Linked DNA regions of Mus musculus. Each later gene encodes a partner of the first gene's protein in a complex. Links are inferred from orthologs where the notes say so. Each region holds a gene or a part of one and is shown on either strand. Other genes may lie near its edges. The genes, in order: Nsun4 and Mterf4.

Region 1 (3,809 bases):
GAAGAAATAATGACCAGAATGCATGTTCTGACCAGAACAAAAACCCAGACGAGGGTAGAAGGTGCATTAACAAGACTGCCATCAGTAGTATCTCAGTTGTTACAATGAGGGCCAACTCCTCGTCTGAAGTCTTCAGTTCTTTTTTCAATCTGACTCAAGTCCTTCACTGTTGGCCAATAGCAGTCATTCTTCTTTAATTCTTACCTAAAGATTCTGTGAACTGTCTTTATTCTGCCTTCCTGGGAAACCTAAAACCTCTCAGCTCTATAATTCTGTGCATTACGTCGTCCAGTCACTGCATTATCTTAGGTGAGTGACTCATTGCTCTATCAGATGGGAAAGAGAATTATTGTTGTTGTTTTTGTTGTTGTTGTTGTTTTTCAAGACAGGGTTTCTCTGTGTAGCCCTGGCTGTCCTGGAACTCACTCTGAAGACCAGGCTGGCCTCAAACTCAGAAATCCGCCTGCCTCTGTCTCCCGAGTGCTGGGATTAAAGGCGTGTGCCACCACGCCCGGCAGAGAATTATTTGTATCCTATTGAGCACCACTGCCATAGAGCTCTCTCATAAGCTAATAGACAATAACAAGCTTTGAAAACAGGATTGTAAAGAATAGAAGTGCCAGGCATGGTGGCACACACCTTTAATCCCAGCACTTGGCAGCAGGGTCAGGTGGATCTCTGTAGTTTGAGGCCAGCCTGGTCTACAAATCAAGTTCCAGGACAGCTAGGTTTATGCAGAGAAACCATCTGTCATAAAAAGCTTTAAGCCTCAAGTTTCCCCAGGACCTTCACAGTTTCTTCAAAAGTTCTCCCTTGGGTTACTTAAGTACCCCCTTCACATTTGCTAGGTATAAATCTAGGGCCTTGCTTGTGCTAGGCAAGCACTGTTATACACTGAGCACACATCTCAGGTGCACACACACACATCTCAGAGCACACACATTGAGGTACATCTCAGATTAAGCCCTCAACCAATCTCTCCCTCCTATTTTTTTTGAGATGCTTCTATGTGTCTTTGTGTGTGTGTTTGAGATAGAGTATCTTGTATCCTAATTTGTCTTGAATTCTATATAACCAAGAATGACCCTCTTTTCTACCTCCAGAGCAGTAGGATTATAGGAGACTTTTTTTTAAAAAAAAAGATTTATTTATTTTTATTTATATGAGTACACTGTAGCTATCTTCAGACACACACCAGAAGAGTGCATTGGATCCCATTACAGATGGTTGTGAGCCACCATTTGGTTGCTGGGAATTGAACTCAGGACCTCTGAAAGAGCACTCAGTGCTCTTAACTGTTGAGCCATCTCTCCAGCCCCATATAGGAGACTTTTTAAAATGACATTTATTTATTGGTGTGGGTATGGTTTATGTGCATGTGTGCATGTATGTGCTACGGTCCACCTTGGGAGGTAGGACAATAAGTAAGGGAATCAATCCTTTCCTTCTGCCCTGTGGGTCTCAAAGATCAAACACAAGTAGTCAAGCTTAGTGGCAAAAAGCCATCTCAACAAGAGATTCCTGATGTATTACTCACCCTGGCTTCGAATTTGCTTTTGTAGCCCCAACGTTAGCTTTGAACTCTAGATCCTCCTGCTGAGTACTGGGATTACAAGTGCACCACTCTGCCTAGCATTGACTCTCTTTTTTGATGACCCCTAGAGTTACTATGAGAGGTATGTGTCCCTTCCAATCTGTGATATGAAGGCTAACTTCATTCTCTCCCAGTTCTTCCTTTGGTAGGCAGAAGCAAGATGCAAAGATAGGAGAGAGCACTGAGTGGACTTGAATTTGCCTTGGAGGTCTGAGGTATTGGTAGATATACTGGTTAGTTTTATGTCAGCTTGACACAATTTACCTAGAGTTATGTGAAATGAGGGAACCATAATTGATAATTTGCCTCCATAAGATCCAGCTGTAAGGCATTTTCTTAATTAATGATTGATGGGGGAGGGCCCAGCCTATTGTGGGTGGTGCCATCCTTGGGCTGGTGGTTCTGGGTTCTATAGGAAAGCAGGCTGGGCAAGACATGAGTAAGCAAGCCAGCAAGCAGCAGCCTCTGTGGGCTCTCTGACAGCTCCTGCAGTGCCTGCCCTATTTGAATTCCTGCCTTGGCTTCCCTCAGTGATGGAGTGTCACCTGGAAGTGTAGGATGAAATAAACCTCCTTCTCAAGTTGCCTTGGTCATGATGTTTCATCACAGCAACAGAAACTGCAGTAAAGTCACATGATAAGAGATAAGAGTCAAGACTGGAATGATTAATACACTTGCTCTTTCTCTCTTAGGCTACCACAGAACCACAATTCACGGCCAGTCGGCTTGCTCTGCAGAATTTTGACATGACCTACAGTGTACAGTTTGGGGATCTTTGGCCATCAATCCGTGTTAGTCTTCTCTCAGAGCAGAAGTATGGTGCATTGGTCAATAATTTTGCTGCTTGGGATAGTGTGAGTGCTAAGCTGGAGCAGCTGAGTGCCAAGGACTTCGTCAGTGAAGCCATCTCTCACCAGAAACTGGAGCCTGAGAGTGGCCTCTCTCCAACTCCATCCCTGGACTGCAGCCCAAATCTTCGATGCTTCACTTTTTCCAGAGGGGACGTCAGCCGCTTTCCTCCTGCCAGGTAGGGGCTGGAATGGTGGGGTCATTCTGAGTGCCTGGTACAAGTGGATCTGAAGAGCTCAGCCCTGCCCTCCAGTTTTGTTGGTATGTCTAGTGTTTGCAGACTAGGTGTTTGCCCAAGTGCTGTATGTGTACTCTCTCTCTTGTCAGTACCCTGATGGGAATATAATAGCTGCTCTTTTTTTATATTTGAGGTACAGAGAAATTAAGAAAGCTACTTGCTTTTGATCATCCAGAGAGCAAGTGGTGTATTTGGTATTTAGTCCTAGCAAGTTTGAACCCCAGAACCTGCACTCGGAGCCTGTTCTGCATTCTGCAGAAAACATCTACCTTTCACAAGAGCAACTCACTGCATCCTTCCCAGTGAAGATGTGTCTCCCCTTCTCCTTTGCCCTGTCAGCCACCTGTGAGAGGAGGAGGAGAGGAAGTGGACTCTGATAGGAAATAGGGGTTGCCCAGGAGTGCAAGTTAGTGATAGACCTGAAAAAAAACAGAACTTTGTCTCTTCCAGAGGTGGTGCTTGTGTGTATGAAGTTCAGTGGGAAAAGACTGTACAGCCAAGTGCTAAGTTGTGCTTTATGCCTTGAGAATAGGAAGGTGGATATAGTGGTATAAGCTTATGATACCAGAACTTGAATGGTAGGCTTGAGGCTGGAATGGAACACACACACACACACACACACTCCGGCCCTCTTCTCACTAATTCTTAAGGAAGCTTTGAGTTTTTATTCTTTTGTACCTTACTCATTCTTTTCTCTTTTGCCTAGAATGTTCTTCCATTTTTTTACCTAATGAAGGCCTCTGATTTCTTCATCAGGCCCAACTCAGGTAGCCCCAGTGCATATAGTTGATGACCATTCCCTCTGAACCAGTGAAGTACTTTGTATCTTAAAGTGTAACCTGATAAAATTGAATTCCTGCTATGTACCAGGCATGGTTTCAGGTCTTGGGAAGTAGTCCGGTGTCTTAGTCAGGGTTTCTATTCCTGCACAAACATTATGACCAAGAAGCAAGTTGGGGAGAAAAGGGTTTTTCAGCTTCCTTTTTTCACATTGCTGTTAATTACCAAAGAATGTCAGGACTGGAACTCAAGCAGGTCAGGGAGCAGGAGCTGATGCAGAGGCCATGGAGGGATGTTCTTTACTAGTTTGCTTCCCCTGGCTTGCTCAGCCTGCTCTCTTATAGAACT
Region 2 (4,562 bases), on another chromosome or scaffold:
GGTAAAGGCACCTGCCAGCAAACCTGAAACTTGAGTTCAATCCCCAAGACCCACATTGTGGCAGCAGACAATCAACTCTAGAAGTTGTCTTGTGGCACCCACATGGGGGCACAGCAGGATCCTCTCCCTCCACAGGACTGCCCATTCAGAGATCTACTTTCCATGAAGCACCACGCAAAGGACTCTTCACAGACCCAACAACCCTCCCTATGTCCCTGCCTTTTTCTAGTCTTCTATCTGAAGGCGGCAACTTCATACTCTAGGTCTCCTCTTGCTTGCCTAGCATAGAAAGCTTCCCGGGGATTCACTGGGGAATGTTAGAGGAGAGTGGTTTCCTGCACAGTGGGGCTCAGGCTGCTGCTTCTCTCTGTATAATCTAGACATTGTATAGAGACTAACAATCTCTAGACTTGAGAGTCTGAGCTCAATGAAGAGGCCTTTAGGAACAATGGTAGGAACAAGAATATCCAGAACACACAATTATAAGTAGTCTGAGCGTGACCATGTGTTATATCCAACTGTATTATTGTTTGTTTTGTAGGGTCTCCTTGGAAGGCCTGGAACCTGCAGAGCTCCATCCTCCTGACTATAGAGTTCAATTAAAAGAATGCACTACCACACCCAGCCTCCCCGTGTTTTACTGAGTTACATTAGTAACTGTATTCAGACAAATGATATAAGCAGGGCTTCATAAGTGAAGCAAATGGTCTTCTGATGAATAGTTGTGCCGATTTAAAAACTGGAAACTTAAAAGCCACTTAAGACTGTCAAGTAACTTTCCTAACAGCCTAGCTTCCCTGTGAAGAGGCGTTTCCAAAGAGTAAGCTTTATTTTCTCCTCTCAGGCTGTGCTTCACACACTGACTGAGCTTGGGCTTAGATCATGTTACAAGAGACAACGTGTCAAGGGGAACACAGTTATCTTTTTGCTTATCTTCTAGAGGAGGCATGCCGAGACACCAAACACAGTGGGCTCTAAGCCTCCCCACTTTGGGGGTGAAATCTTACCAGGAACAGTCAGTAATGAAATAAAAGCAGTCAAATGGGTAGAGTTCACTGGAGAGCCCCACCTCCCTTCTCCAGAAGGGTGACAGCTGTTGGAAGGTGGAGGGCACTCTAACAGCCTTCCAGGAACCGGGCACCATCAGCTCTGAAAGCTGTGTGTGGGATGTTTTTGCGGAGGTCACACATTTGCATACACATACATCACTACCATAGAGCAACACTAACCCACCAAAACCAGACTCCATGTCCCCATTGATCTGGAGCTAGAGATCTCAATGAACACACAGGAGGCTCACTTTGGCCTTGGTTCTCTCTTCTTGGGCTCCTCTATCCCACATCCCCCTTACAACGGCATCTGCAGAGAGCCCACTGCACATCTTCTTGAAGACACTGACCTCTCCTCAGCAAACTTTCCTACCTCACTTCCTCTGAGTAAGGTGTGTTTAGCCCACAGCACACATGCATCCCAGGGTATTGATGAATGCAGCCTAGCTCATTTGTAGGTGACAATTCCATGCCTTACTATCAAAAGGCTGGACATCCCTGCTAGGGTAAGCTATTTTCTCCCTAACTGACTCCTCTCCCTCTATAAAGTCTGCTGCATCTTATACCTTCTCCAAGGCCAAGCTTCCGAAGGTAACTGGAACGCCTCTTCATCTGCATGCTAGACAGTTTCAGCAACTGGGGATTTTTCTTCAAGGCATTAAATACAGGCTCTGGGTTCAACCCCAAGAGTAGGAGTTCTGAAACTATACCCAGCAACTGTTGAGGATGGACACTTGGCTGTATACTAAACAAGCTGTGAATGTGGGCTTCAGCAAAACCCATGTCCTGGAGGGAACGGATGACCTTTTCAGGCTCCAAGGACTCAGGATCCACACAAGGCTTCTGTTCCTCATGAAGACACTGAACAAGTCGTGTCCTGTTTTCTGGTTCCTGCATGTACTTTTGGGGTGTAATGCTGGAAAACTCTTGAAAGCTTCCTCTACCGGGCACTGTAGTCAGTTTGCAAGACAAAGAAGGGCTCATCTGTTTCTGTTCTCTGAGATGAGGGGTCTGCCTAACCAAACAGGCCCAGGAGAGGGCCAGTAGACGATGCCACTCAGGAACCTGTAAGGCAGAGCAAAAACAGAATCAGTCCCACCTCAGAATAATGACCACCACAAGATTACTGAGCCAGTAACCTTGAACCTCAGCTTGACCCTTGGCCCACAAAAGCTAACAGTTTTTGTAAACAATCTGTAAAATCTTCTCTGGGTCTAAAAAGTCTCCAAAGAATAAAAGTAGCATGCAAACGACCGCACTTACTGAAGATATTGAAGCATAAGCAATATCTACATACTGAAGATACAGGGCACGAGCAATAGTATTTGGTTGAAAATTCTGAACCTCAGACTAGCCACCAGACAGGTACACTACCTAATTTCATTCCAACAAAGGATAGTTTTGTTTTGTTTTTCAAGGATCCCTTCCATTAAAAGAAGAATATTTGGGGGAAGGAATCTGTCGATTTGTACACAGTAGCCCCAGGTGTTGGGACTAGCACATAACAAATTAAGCACAGAGCATCCGGTGCCCGCCAGAATGGTCTCAAACACCCCGCTCTTGCCGCTGGTGGTGGTCCAGGCCTCCCTAGCCATTAGGCAGCACACAGCCGAAACTCCGGAGAAGCCAGAAGCTATTCTGAGGGCCACACTGTCTGTGCACACGCCACCCGGGAGCGCTACTGCCACAAGGTGCCCAGACCGGAACACCAAGAACCAGCGTCAGCGCCTCCTGAACGTCCCGCCAACAGCCGCTGTGAGCCCGGGACCTAGGGCAACCTCACCTGCCTTCCCAGCGAAGCCATGGAGACCAAGCGAAGAACAACTGTGAGACCGGAAGAGGCGGTCCTTCCTGGCTCACAACGTCCGGCCTCCGATCTGTGTCCGCCGAACTCCCGGGGTGTGGCGTTCTTTCGTTCCGCAGCCAAGCCCTTGATCCCAGATGCTCGTGCCCAGCACCTGCAGCTTGCAGGTGCAGCTCCCTTTAGTTGGGCATACTCGGTTGCATGGTCTCTGCCAGGAACAAGCAACACTACCTGGGTTTTAAAACTGCTCTTCAGAGTACAGGTGAAACCAAACTACCCCGAAGCGCACACCGTCGTTTTCTGTTGTGAAACTACTTTTACTGGGGCCGGGGGAGGAGGGGAGAATATGACAAAAAACAATCACCTGTGTTAAAGATAGTACAAGGCCAAATAAGATAACGCTGTGATTGTGGAATTAGGATCCTGCAGACCAAAACCAAATTATCATGGATTATTCTTAGCCTTTTTGAAATCCATTCATCGTCCACCTGTCTAACTTAACAGCTTTGTGACAATGAATACCTTTAAAATATATTCCTAGACCAACAATGGTTTTCACCAATCCAAAAGCCAATAGCATCACTAAATAATATCTAAAACTGAGTTAAGTGTTTTCCTAGTTTTGCCTTATCCTTCCTATCTGTGGTCCCCACCAATGTGTCTGGTAAATGCCTTGATTTATGGCTTTATTCTCTAGCTAGTAATATCTCACCTAACTTCATCCATGGTGGAGAATCTTTTGGAAAAACCAAATTTGTGTTCCTGGGCTCATCTTTGAGGTAAGTAGGTTTGTTTGTTTGTTTGTTTGTTTGTTTTTTAACTTTATCTGCATTTATTTTATGCTGAATTTATTCACGTGCCATGAGTTTTTGTTTCTTGTTTCTTCTGGGATATCCTTTTCTTCTGTGCAACCTCCTCTTCTGGCTTTAGAATGATCTGTTCCCTCTCAGTGAGGATCATCTCAATGTGGCAGGGGGAGCTCATGTATGGGTTAATCCGGCCATGAGCTCTGTAGGTTCGTCGGCGCATCTTAGGTGCCTTGTTCACCTGGATGTGTTCAATGACAAGAGAATCTAAATCTAAGCCCTTAAGTTCAGCGTTACTCTCTGCATTTTTAAGCATGTGCAGCAAAAATTCAGCACTCTTTTTTGACCACCGACCAGCCGCATTGTTTGGCCTGGGCGCACCTACTGACTCCACCATTATAACACCGGAATGGCACACATTGCTTCTTTAAAGTGATGTCCTTCAGATACTTGGTGGCTTTGCAGATATGCATACCCTTGATGGCCTGGGCAGATTCCCGGGTGTTCTTAAAGTGAACACGAAGGTTTGAACCTCTTGATTTGCATGATTTTGGGGGGTTTTTCTGGGTCAAGAGAGTAGCGAAACATCTTGGCAGATGACCTCTGGCTGCTTACAGGAAGAGAGGAGGTAAGTAGTTTGTGATGGACACTGTAATACAGCAATAAGTTCTCAGGACAGCCCAAACTCTCCCTGAAATGGTTATGTACAGATCTAGACCCAGATAAAAGTATTTGGTAAGTTCTGTTGTTTACAGACTTGTGTTTAGTCAGCAAGATGGCTCAGGAATTCAGACACTGACCACACCAGCTTGGTGACCTGAGTTTGATTCTAGGGACCCATGCAAAAGTGAAGACACAAACCCACTCCACCGAGCTGTCCTTTGAGACAGACAGACAGACAGA

Evidence for each region.
Region 2: the proteins of Nsun4 (region 1) and Mterf4 are in contact, whole or in part, in a crystal structure (PDB 4FP9), measured with the Homo sapiens proteins. The link is inferred for Mus musculus from reciprocal best matches to the Homo sapiens genes NSUN4 and MTERF4. Residues at the interface, in NP_950245.2 of Homo sapiens: Pro61, Ser62, Arg64, Val65, Leu68, Ser69, Glu70, Arg136, Gly137, Asp138, Ile139, Arg141, Asn367, Leu368, Met369; in NP_872307.2 of Homo sapiens: Tyr267, Glu269, Arg270, Leu271, Gly272, Arg273, Glu311, Glu312, Val315, Phe316, Lys318, Leu319, Arg322, Glu323, Glu326.

The regions. Positions count from the first base shown.
Region 1 is NC_000070.6:116,047,142-116,050,950, reverse strand, and holds part of Nsun4 (putative methyltransferase NSUN4), read left to right. Parts: exon of another isoform or gene 1-309; intron 310-1,728; exon of another isoform or gene 1,729-1,809; intron 1,810-2,286; coding exon 2,287-2,621; intron 2,622-3,809. UniProt on the Homo sapiens protein: Mitochondrial RNA cytosine C(5)-methyltransferase that methylates cytosine to 5-methylcytosine (m5C) in various RNAs, such as rRNAs, mRNAs and some long non-coding RNAs (lncRNAs).
Region 2 is NC_000067.6:93,302,993-93,307,554, forward strand, and holds the start of Mterf4 (transcription termination factor 4, mitochondrial), read right to left. Parts: upstream 2,888-4,562; 5' UTR 2,854-2,887; coding exon 2,833-2,853; intron 2,115-2,832; coding exon 1,616-2,114; intron 1-1,615. UniProt on the Homo sapiens protein: Regulator of mitochondrial ribosome biogenesis and translation. Binds to mitochondrial ribosomal RNAs 16S, 12S and 7S and targets NSUN4 RNA methyltransferase to the mitochondrial large ribosomal subunit (39S).